Linked DNA regions of Arabidopsis thaliana. The protein of the gene in region 1 interacts with the protein of each later gene in a pairwise test. Each region holds a gene or a part of one and is shown on either strand. Other genes may lie near its edges.

Region 1 (5,002 bases):
TAATTCGTTGTCTCTCTGAATTAGTATGGTGCCATACAACTGGATGTTCCGAACATGCGCTGCAGCGATTCATCACGGTGGCAGGTAAAAATGTCACATGGATATCTTTTCTTGGTGAGCATGGACACACATATAAATAGACGTGAACTGATTTTTTCTTGTCTTTCTATATGAATTGTGTCCCCTGTGGAAATCAGCGGTTCTGTTGCTGCAGCATTACAGGCTGGAATCCCGCAGGTTTGTGTTTGTATGTTAGTTTATTAGATCTTTGATATATAAGGGTAAAACTAATTGTTTGTCGAGAAGGATCAGTAGAAATATAGCTGTACAGTAACCAGTACATCAGAAGAACATGTCATGGTCCTTCAATAAACTTTATTGCTATATGATTACTCAGCCAAAAACTTTACTAGTAATTTTGCTCATAAACCATAGTTTTGTGCACTGCTTGGTTACAAAATGATGATTAACGTTCTTAAAGCGTTATCCATTTCAAGTTGTAATGCCAAAAAGTGACCACATAATGTGTGTATATGTCTTTTTACAGATCATATGCCCATTTATGCTGGATCAGTTCTATTGGGCAGAAAAGATGTCTTGGCTTGGAGTTGCTCCTCAACCATTGAAAAGAAACCACCTGCTTCTAGAGGACTCAAATGATGAGAAGAACATCACGGAAGCTGCACAAGTGGTAGCGAAAGCCATATACGATGCACTGTCTGCAAAGACTAGGGCTCGTGCCATGGAAATTGCTGAAATATTATCTCTTGAGGTAACTATTTACGATCAGTTTACTATTCTTCTCCTCCTGATCCATGCCCCCAGAATCAAAGTATCCTTTCTTCACATGGAGTTTTTCTTTTCTTTTCGATGTAGCGTAGTCTTTTCTCTTTCATAGTTTTGAGTAATTTCTGGCAACTGGTAGTTTTAAGGTATCCAAAAATTAATGATTTCAGGATGGAGTCACAGAAGCTGTGAGAGTGCTTAGAGAAGAGGTGTGTGTAGTTTCAGGCAGCAACCGAATATTTTGATGAGCATTGTCATATATACAACGTAAAGCTCATATCAAGTGATGGTGATCAATGCCCTACCGATTGTTGGCATCCATAAATTTAACGTCTATTAATGTTACCAAGTCTCCATCTGTCCCAATATAAAAGACGTTTAAGGATTTTCTCTTTTATTCCATTTTATTAGTTTTCTCTAGTTTCTATGTACAATTTATATCATTTTATGACTACTTAAATTGTACAATATTTATTTCTATTAGTTGAAATTTTATAAATGAAAAAACATCTATGATTTCTTTATCTTTGGATTAAAATATATAAGACATCATATAATTGTTTTCCATTTAACTAAAATCAGTTTTAGAGATTTGAATGTTTTAAAAAGTTTGTGATTTTTTTTTTTTTTTGTGGGTCAAAAGAGTGCTAACTTTATTATATCATATAGAGCCATTACAAACTAGTACAAGCCTGAAAGTTTAGCGGGAGACTCAAACCCGAGAGTTTACGAGAAGCCTAAAGAGAATTACAAACAAAAGACACACAAAAATGGGTAAAACATACCCACATAACTAAGTTTTTAAACGATCTTAGCAAACTGGAAAGAAACAGATCAAACTAACAAGGAACTAATAGTAAGAGAAATTCCAATACAAAATAAAATACTAAGAAGAGAAAAACTGAATCTCTCGCTTAACCATCATCCCCATTAACCTTTACATTTAACGTGTGACATGGCGAAGCCATGAGTGCAATCCCATCAACCCACAATCAACCCGAAACTTCTACAAGAGCCTCAAACATCGAAGCCATGAGTCCCAAAAATTTGCGAGTTTCAAATCCCTTAAATAAGAGCCAATTAGCGTATTAGCCGGTTAGCGTAATCAAATTTGCAAAAATTGGGAAATTTTGGTCTGACCCGGTTCGGTTTGAAAGGTACGAAACCGAAAGAAATATTCGTCTTGTGATTGTGAAGAAGAAAGAAGACAAGTCTTTGTTTCGTCGACGGGAAAGAAAAACCCTACGATATTCCTCGACTCGTTTACACTTCTCCGACCACCGTCTCTTTCCTTCTTCTCCCGACGGAGTAAAATTCGTTATCGCGTTTTGAATCACCGGATTATGAAATAGCGATTGAAAGATGCTTGAAGGATATGTGCAAGGATTTGTGAACCTGTTGTTAGGGTACTTAGGTCGTTACATTAAAGACATCCAGAAAGACCAGCTCAAGATCTCACTCTGGAATGGTATTTTCACCGTCTTCTCTTTCCATTTTCCGTTTCAACGAACACCACAATCTCCCACTGTATTTGATGATTTACGCACAATTTCTTGCTTCTAACTGCAGGAGAAGTCTTATTGGAGAACGTGGAATTGAATCCTGAGGCGTTTGAGTATTTGCAGCTTCCAATTGCTCTCAAGCAAGGTGATAGTTAGTGGATTGAAGTTTCGATTCTGTCAGCTTTTTTTCGTTTTCTCGGGATCAAATCGTTTATTGTTTATATAGGCCGTGTTGGGAAATTGAGCATTAAAATTCCATGGAAGAAACTTCATAGGGATCCTGTAACCATTATGATTGAAGATGTCTTTATATGTGCATCGCAACGCAATGATCAAGAGGTGATTACTCTTGTTTAGTAGCCCTTTTCTACATGAAAGTGTTTGCCTCTAAAACCATATATGTATATTGCTTGGTCATTGCAGTGGAGTTCAGATGTCGTTGAGAAAAGAGAGTTTGCTGGTAAGAAAGCTAAACTTGCTTCTGCAGAACTGGCAAAATTGTCCAGGCGTGTCTTCGGTGAGCAAATATACTTCTTGTCCTACAAAATTTATCTTTCCTATACAAAATTTGTTGAGTTCCTTCATTTTTTTTCCCAGACAATCCAGGCGGAAATTCTTATATGTCATATATTACTGCCAAGGTAACATTACGTTCCGCAATCCTCCTTTTGCTACCTCTAGTTAATCATCTTACATTTTTCATATTATGATTGATCTGTTACTGGTTTTTAGTAGATCTTCCTGATTTTGGATGAGGTTATCAATCTTATTTATTTTATTTTTTTCTACTATGTTAACGTTCCTTCTTTCTTGGCTTAGATTCTTGATAGCGTTCAAGTGTCCATCAAAAATTTTCACATCTTATACTCAGATGCACAACCTGAATCGGTAAGTCTCTTGCTTGTTCAGTTTAATTAGTTTGCTAGAATATAGGCTTGTATTTTGTTATCCTCCCATTGATATTGTTGAAACTTATATACATCGATCATATCGTAGTATTGGTTTGTTTGTGAGAGCATAGCATTTATCATGGAGGATATGTATCTAGATAGAGTCAAATATATTTGAGCATTGTGATGCTAAACTACTATCAGTCTTTCTTGTGATTCACTAGAATATAACTTGAATAATCGTTTGGTGTTGTCTACTTTCCCACTTTCATATGTTTTTACTCTAAACTGCTGTCACAGGGGCAAGTTGTATTAGGATTGCGGTTTTCAAGCTTGACAGTTACTAAACAAAACTCAGTTGGGTAATCTCTTTATGCACCTTCTCTTGCACTTTTAAATGTACTCCACTTTGTGTTTGATTCCGAGCTTTGCTTTATATATGGCAAGGATATGTTCTTTGAATTACATTGTGAGACAGCAGAGAGCAGACCCCGCATTAATTTCTTTCCAGTTGCCTTGTTTCTTCTATGTCACTTAATATATATTCTAGTTTCGTATTTGATTCCTTGTAGCTTTGCTTTATTCTATTGGTTTGGCGATACCCCATTATAACTTTCTTCCAACTGTCTCTTTTCTTACTGTAAAATCTCCTTAAACCTGTTTTTTCCATAAGCTAAATTATTGTTGATAAGACAAGACCTGTGGTGGATATATGTGCTTCCTGAAATATTTGACATGATGTCTCTGTTGAATATCAGGCCATCAGTTGGTAGGGTGAGAGGGGGGCAAGTGAATATACTTGTGGAGGTTGAAGGTTTGGAAATATATTGTGACATGTATGAGGGAAACATGGACTTTCCAAGTGTTAATGAAAAAATAGGTTTTGACAATTGGTGCCAGTCAAGATTGCAAAGCAATAGATTTGGTTATTTACTGAAGCCAGTCCATGTTTCTGTAACGCTATTGGTAATGGATCTAAAACAGCGTCATTGGTTTGCTGTCTCTTAACATCTTTTGTTATCATCTAATCTTTGTTGCTGCTTCAAGGTGCTACATCCTTGCTCTTGCTTTAGGGTTATGTTAAAAATGAGATGTACACATTTATATGTTATATCTGCCGTACTGAGTCTTGATTTACCTGATGGCCTACGAAATTTTGATGACATATTAATCAATCAATGTTATCAGAAAGGATTTGCATAACATTTTTGCCAATTCGTTTATATGTCACCATCAGCTCCATATGGACATTGTGTTTGGTGAAAGATTTTTACAGCTATCTGATCAATGATACAATATTTATACAGAAAGTAAATTGGTCTATGCATCAGCTATTGCTTGAGTGCATTTTTGTGCTGTATGTAAATAGGCATTCTTCATTTTGCCTGATATACTTCTTTGCATAGGTCAATCGATCTGGAGAGCTTTATGACGATCTTCCTCAGTATTCTATCAGCGCTGAGTTGACTGATGTGGTTAGTTCTCAGAAATTGCTAAACTAGGTTCAGAGCTCAGATTTATTTACCATTTCATGACTCACTCTAACTTCCAATTGGCACTGATGCGTTTTAGGTGGTGACTCTGAATGAATTTCAATTGCAGCAGATTCTTATTCTGTTAGATTATTTGCAAACCAGCCAGTTGCGTGAGAGGTAAGCTTTCATTAGGGTAGCGATAATTTTTCCTCAATTCAAACTTTTTTTCCTCCTGAGATTTAGCTCTATTATTGGATACTACAGAACGTTTTTTTGAAGAACTACTGATTAAAGAACCTTTTAAATGGTATAGGTATGGGCGGTATCGTCCCTGCTCCACTTCTTTATC
Region 2 (4,259 bases), on another chromosome or scaffold:
TTTGAGGTCTAATCGTATATTCCAGTGTTTTGAGTTTGATAATGTATAAATGTAAAATAAGCCTTTCTTGTGTGAGAGTCTGTTCACCTCTAATATTAATCGCTCACTAGGATCATATATATGTAAACATACCTTAATAAGATCGATTATGAATGATCAAAAGCATGACAATATACATTTCAGAAGCGTGCAAGCCACTAGAGGTGCATTCACGAGATTCCAACTAAGAGATTCCCTAACCAAAGTAGCTGTCTTAAGATTCTATTTATATATATTCACGAACCGAGAAGAAGTGAAGTAGTGAACATGCTTTTATTAGAAACATGGAATATTATATCTAACAAAAAAAACATGGAATAATTATAGAACTTAATCAGTATTAGTTGTTGTTGAATTTGATATTTATTGCTAGTCTTATTCATTTATACTATATTTTTCCACCATTATAATTCCAGTAGTTCAATGATCCTCCAATGTAACAGTAACTAATTTACATATAAAGCTCACGTATCTAGAAAGAAACTCACTTACTAGTTTTGAGCTTTTCGTGTAACATAGAACCATACATTCATTATAGAGGAAAATAAACCCTATTATTTCGGATAAACAAAAGTAATCACAAATTTCATTCCAAAATGGATTTTTAAAATTAATAAATACCAAAGACAAAACAAAAAATCACGAATTGTATGAACCTTGATACCCACCTCAATGATCAGAATTACTTAATTAGTCCTATTCCAAAATCCAAATTCATATTATGAACTGCATTATCATCATAATCGTAACTCTCTCAATCTCAAAGCCCATCATCAACCATCACCACACGTGTGAAACCATCTCAAGTAAAAATCGAACTTGCGAATTCCTTATGAAAAAATAAAAACAACCCTTTACGTTGGCCGCCACGCACTAGCCCAAACCACCGGCTGATCTCTCCAACAAAGGAATATTCCGGCGGCATCAGGACACTGTACCATCGACCAAACACCTTCTTTATATCTCCTCAACAAAGCTCTGACATCATCCGCCACCTCATCACTATACCCCACCGCTCCAAACCCACTATTCCTCATCCTCCTCGACCACTTCCTCGCTGTCTCTCGCCTCTCCGTGGAATCCGACGGCTCACAAGCCACAAGATCAACGATCGCACGTCCCGCTGCACGCTCTAGCATCAACCTCTCGTTGCTCGTCCTTGGAAAACTCTCTTCCCATGACTCGAAGCAAACCCTAAACCATCGTAAACATTCTCCAAACCCTCTCAAGAACTCATCATCAAAGCCACCTTCTTCTTCTCCGACAAGATCAGCTTCTTCTTCTACGACCGTCACAATCCTCGGTCTTAACCGTCGGAAACTCGATATCACAGCGTCTCTAGGGCTTCCACGTGAAGCGATCCCATGCATCGCGCCTACGCAGTTAATGGCCAAGACTTCGTCTGGTTTAACGTCGAGTTCGTTGAGATCAAACTCAGATAAATCTCCAACGTGATGAATAATGTTAAATTTGAAAGGAACTCCCATAAGCCTAGCGAATTTCTCCATTCGGTTTCCGATCTCTTTCATCATCCGATGCGACGCCGTTTGATCGTTGACAAACTTGTTGGCCACGACAACTGTGGTTAGCCTTAGGTGAGGCGTGTCGTCTGATCTTGTGGCTAAAGCTTCTAGAAGAGTCGGCCATTGAGTGCAAAACGTGGAGCTTATGTCAACGATGTGGATCTTTGCCTCTCCGTCTACTGCTTCCAAGATTGCTCCGTTTGCCGCCACGTGTCCAAACGTGGCCCAGGGGCTAACTTCTTGGAACTTTAGTACAGTTTTTCGCGTTGACTCGAAGGAGCAAGTCTTCTCTGTGGCTGCAGCTGTTACCATGGTTCGGTAGCATCGTTCGCCTGAACCGGTCATGCGGTTGAAGAGAGCTTGGAGGAAGTAAGAAGCCAGTTTTTGCTCGGTGTCTCCGTACGGAGAAGAGAGCTCGTTGAGCGTCCATAGGATTTGTTGCGCACGTGCAGTGTCTTTGTCGGAGAAGGCACGTGCCGCTTCAAGAAGGACCGAGTCTGCCCACTTGGCATTGGCTGAGAAGTCGAAGGACGGAGGAGTTTGAGGTATGGAGAACGCGGAAGGGTCATTATGGTGGCCGGAGGAGGAGTAAGGCGAGGCTAAAGCTGCGGCTGCGGCGGTGGAGGAAGGGGTTGATGATGTGGCGGGATGGTATTGGGTGGGAGTAGTGAAAGGAGAGTAGTAAGTATTAGGATTGTTGTGGTTGTGATGGTTGTGGTGAGAAGAAGAAGAGGAAAGGTCTTCTTCATCCATGAAAAAGTTGAAGCATTCTTCGACGACGTCGTTTTGTGGAAAGTTGTAGTGATAAGCAGTTTGTGGAGAGCCAGTAGTGGTGGTGGAAGTTCTGCTTAACGAAGATTGATTTGTAATGATACTATCGGATTGTTGTTGTTGTTGGAGACTGACTAGTCTAAAGAGAGTATCCATTTTTTTTTTTTAATGAATAAGAAAATGAATAGAAGAAAGGGAGACCCACAATATCTAAGATTTAATACTTTGTTGTGTATATTGCATCAGCATCATGTGTTGTCTTGTATATTTATATATGTATATTTTTTTTCTTGTGTTTCTCGGTGGGAGTGGGTAAATCTAGATGAAGGTGAGTTGTAGAGAATGGGTTTGGTGGATTTGTGAGTTTTTATTAGTAATTTAAAAGACTAGAGAATAAAAAAAGAGCATGAAAAGAGGATTTTTTGCATCGAATTGTTGTCCCATGTTTATCTTTTGGACTTTGTAGACTGTTTGAATCTAATTGGGTTTAGTGAAAACATAATTAGAGAGAGAAGAGACCACTTTTGAACAATATTCTTCTCTCTCTTTATTTTTTGGGGCAAATCAAGAATGTGTTTTGTTTTTACTACAACCCTATAGCTAACTGAGATTTTGGACAAAAATAATGATCCTACTTTTTGCAGTAATATTTGTTTCTACTGAAAAATGTTGATTTAACTTACGAAAAATTACAGAGCAAATATATTTTCTAGTTACAAAATATCAACAATATCTTATATAATTTTCTTTATTCTACATGGGAGTGTATTAGTTAGATAGTTTGGAGGTTTCATTAAGTAGAAAAAAGTCCTGAGAAAAATAAAATAAAGAGGAAAAAGATAAGAAGGTCGATATCATGTAATGGCTTAGTGGGTTTCGCTTTTTCTTCTTTTGTTTTCACATCGATCCACCCAAGTAACCTTCCCTCTTATTTCTTCTTCAAAATAAAATTTATAAATACATATCTCTCTCATGCAATATTGTAGGAGTAGTAGCACTTACGTGGATCGTTCATCATATGAATTTGAAAACGACATGCATGTTATATATACTTACAGATATGGCGTAAAATTCCGAAAAAAATCCGTATATAATTACGATGTTTGTTTATATATAGGCCAAATACATGAAACCAACCAAGTGTTTCAAGTACTATCGATCCCAAGTCTCAACTGGTGTAAAATAAAAAGACTCTTTACGCATCCTAAATCAACAGACTAACAAAAAAGTTAGAATGTCCTACTAATACCAATTCTAACCAATCAAAACACCAAACTCATAATCGTTTTAGACATTCCGCGACTACGTTACTATCAACACTGGTGCATGAAAACTCTATTTTCTCTTAATCGATTATTTTTAAGAAATTAGTGTAAGAGTTCTGAACGCTCTGAATTTTTGACATCAATAATCAAGAAATTAAACGTTGACCAACAAAACAATGCTAATTAAAGAATTTCAGATCCAGACTAATTTTCAAAACATGTGAAAAGCTAGCATCTACAATGAACAAGTAGATTGAAATTGCAAAAGTTTCATGACCATTTTGTATGATACCTATAAGATATATACATGATATATAAATACTTAAGTGGTCACCATTTACATAGTAACATAGAGACATGTGAATATAATTATAAAATAGAGAGAGAATGTTCATAGGTGTGAGTGAGTGGGAGCAGGCGTGAAGAAAAGCTGACGGCGTGCATCAACATCATCAAAGCTCCACATTTGCCTTTGCCTCCTAACCTCTCTCCATTCTCTGCCACTATTTTTCCCTTTTCTCTCTTCTTCTCCATATATACCTCTTTACTATTTTAGATTTTCTCAAATATTACTATTTTTTTTTCTTCACATTTACCCGTAAGAAACCAACCAATGTGTCATATTCTCTTACCTTATATAAACAGCAATGTGTAATTATTA

Evidence for each region. The genes of interacting proteins can lie anywhere in the genome.
Region 2: the proteins of AT5G24740 (region 1) and SHR interact in a protein complementation assay, tested with the Arabidopsis thaliana proteins (one study listed by BioGRID).

The regions. Positions count from the first base shown.
Region 1 is NC_003076.8:8,486,850-8,491,851, reverse strand, and holds the start of AT5G24740 (vacuolar protein sorting-associated protein, putative (DUF1162)), read left to right. Parts: upstream 1-1,984; 5' UTR 1,985-2,148; coding exon 2,149-2,254; intron 2,255-2,355; coding exon 2,356-2,433; intron 2,434-2,514; coding exon 2,515-2,627; intron 2,628-2,711; coding exon 2,712-2,805; intron 2,806-2,885; coding exon 2,886-2,929; intron 2,930-3,107; coding exon 3,108-3,176; intron 3,177-3,478; coding exon 3,479-3,540; intron 3,541-3,828; exon of another isoform or gene 3,829-3,913; coding exon of another isoform or gene 3,914-3,936; coding exon 3,937-4,144; intron 4,145-4,584; coding exon 4,585-4,653; intron 4,654-4,750; coding exon 4,751-4,830; intron 4,831-4,966; coding exon 4,967-5,002. Other genes in the region: AT5G24750 (UDP-Glycosyltransferase superfamily protein), read left to right, coding at 25-84, 198-237, 548-772, 957-1,031.
Region 2 is NC_003075.7:17,690,101-17,694,359, reverse strand, and holds SHR (GRAS family transcription factor), read right to left. Parts: upstream 2,674-4,259; 5' UTR 2,490-2,673; coding exon 894-2,489; 3' UTR 501-893; downstream 1-500. UniProt on the Arabidopsis thaliana protein: Transcription factor required for quiescent center cells specification and maintenance of surrounding stem cells, and for the asymmetric cell division involved in radial pattern formation in roots. Essential for both cell division and cell specification.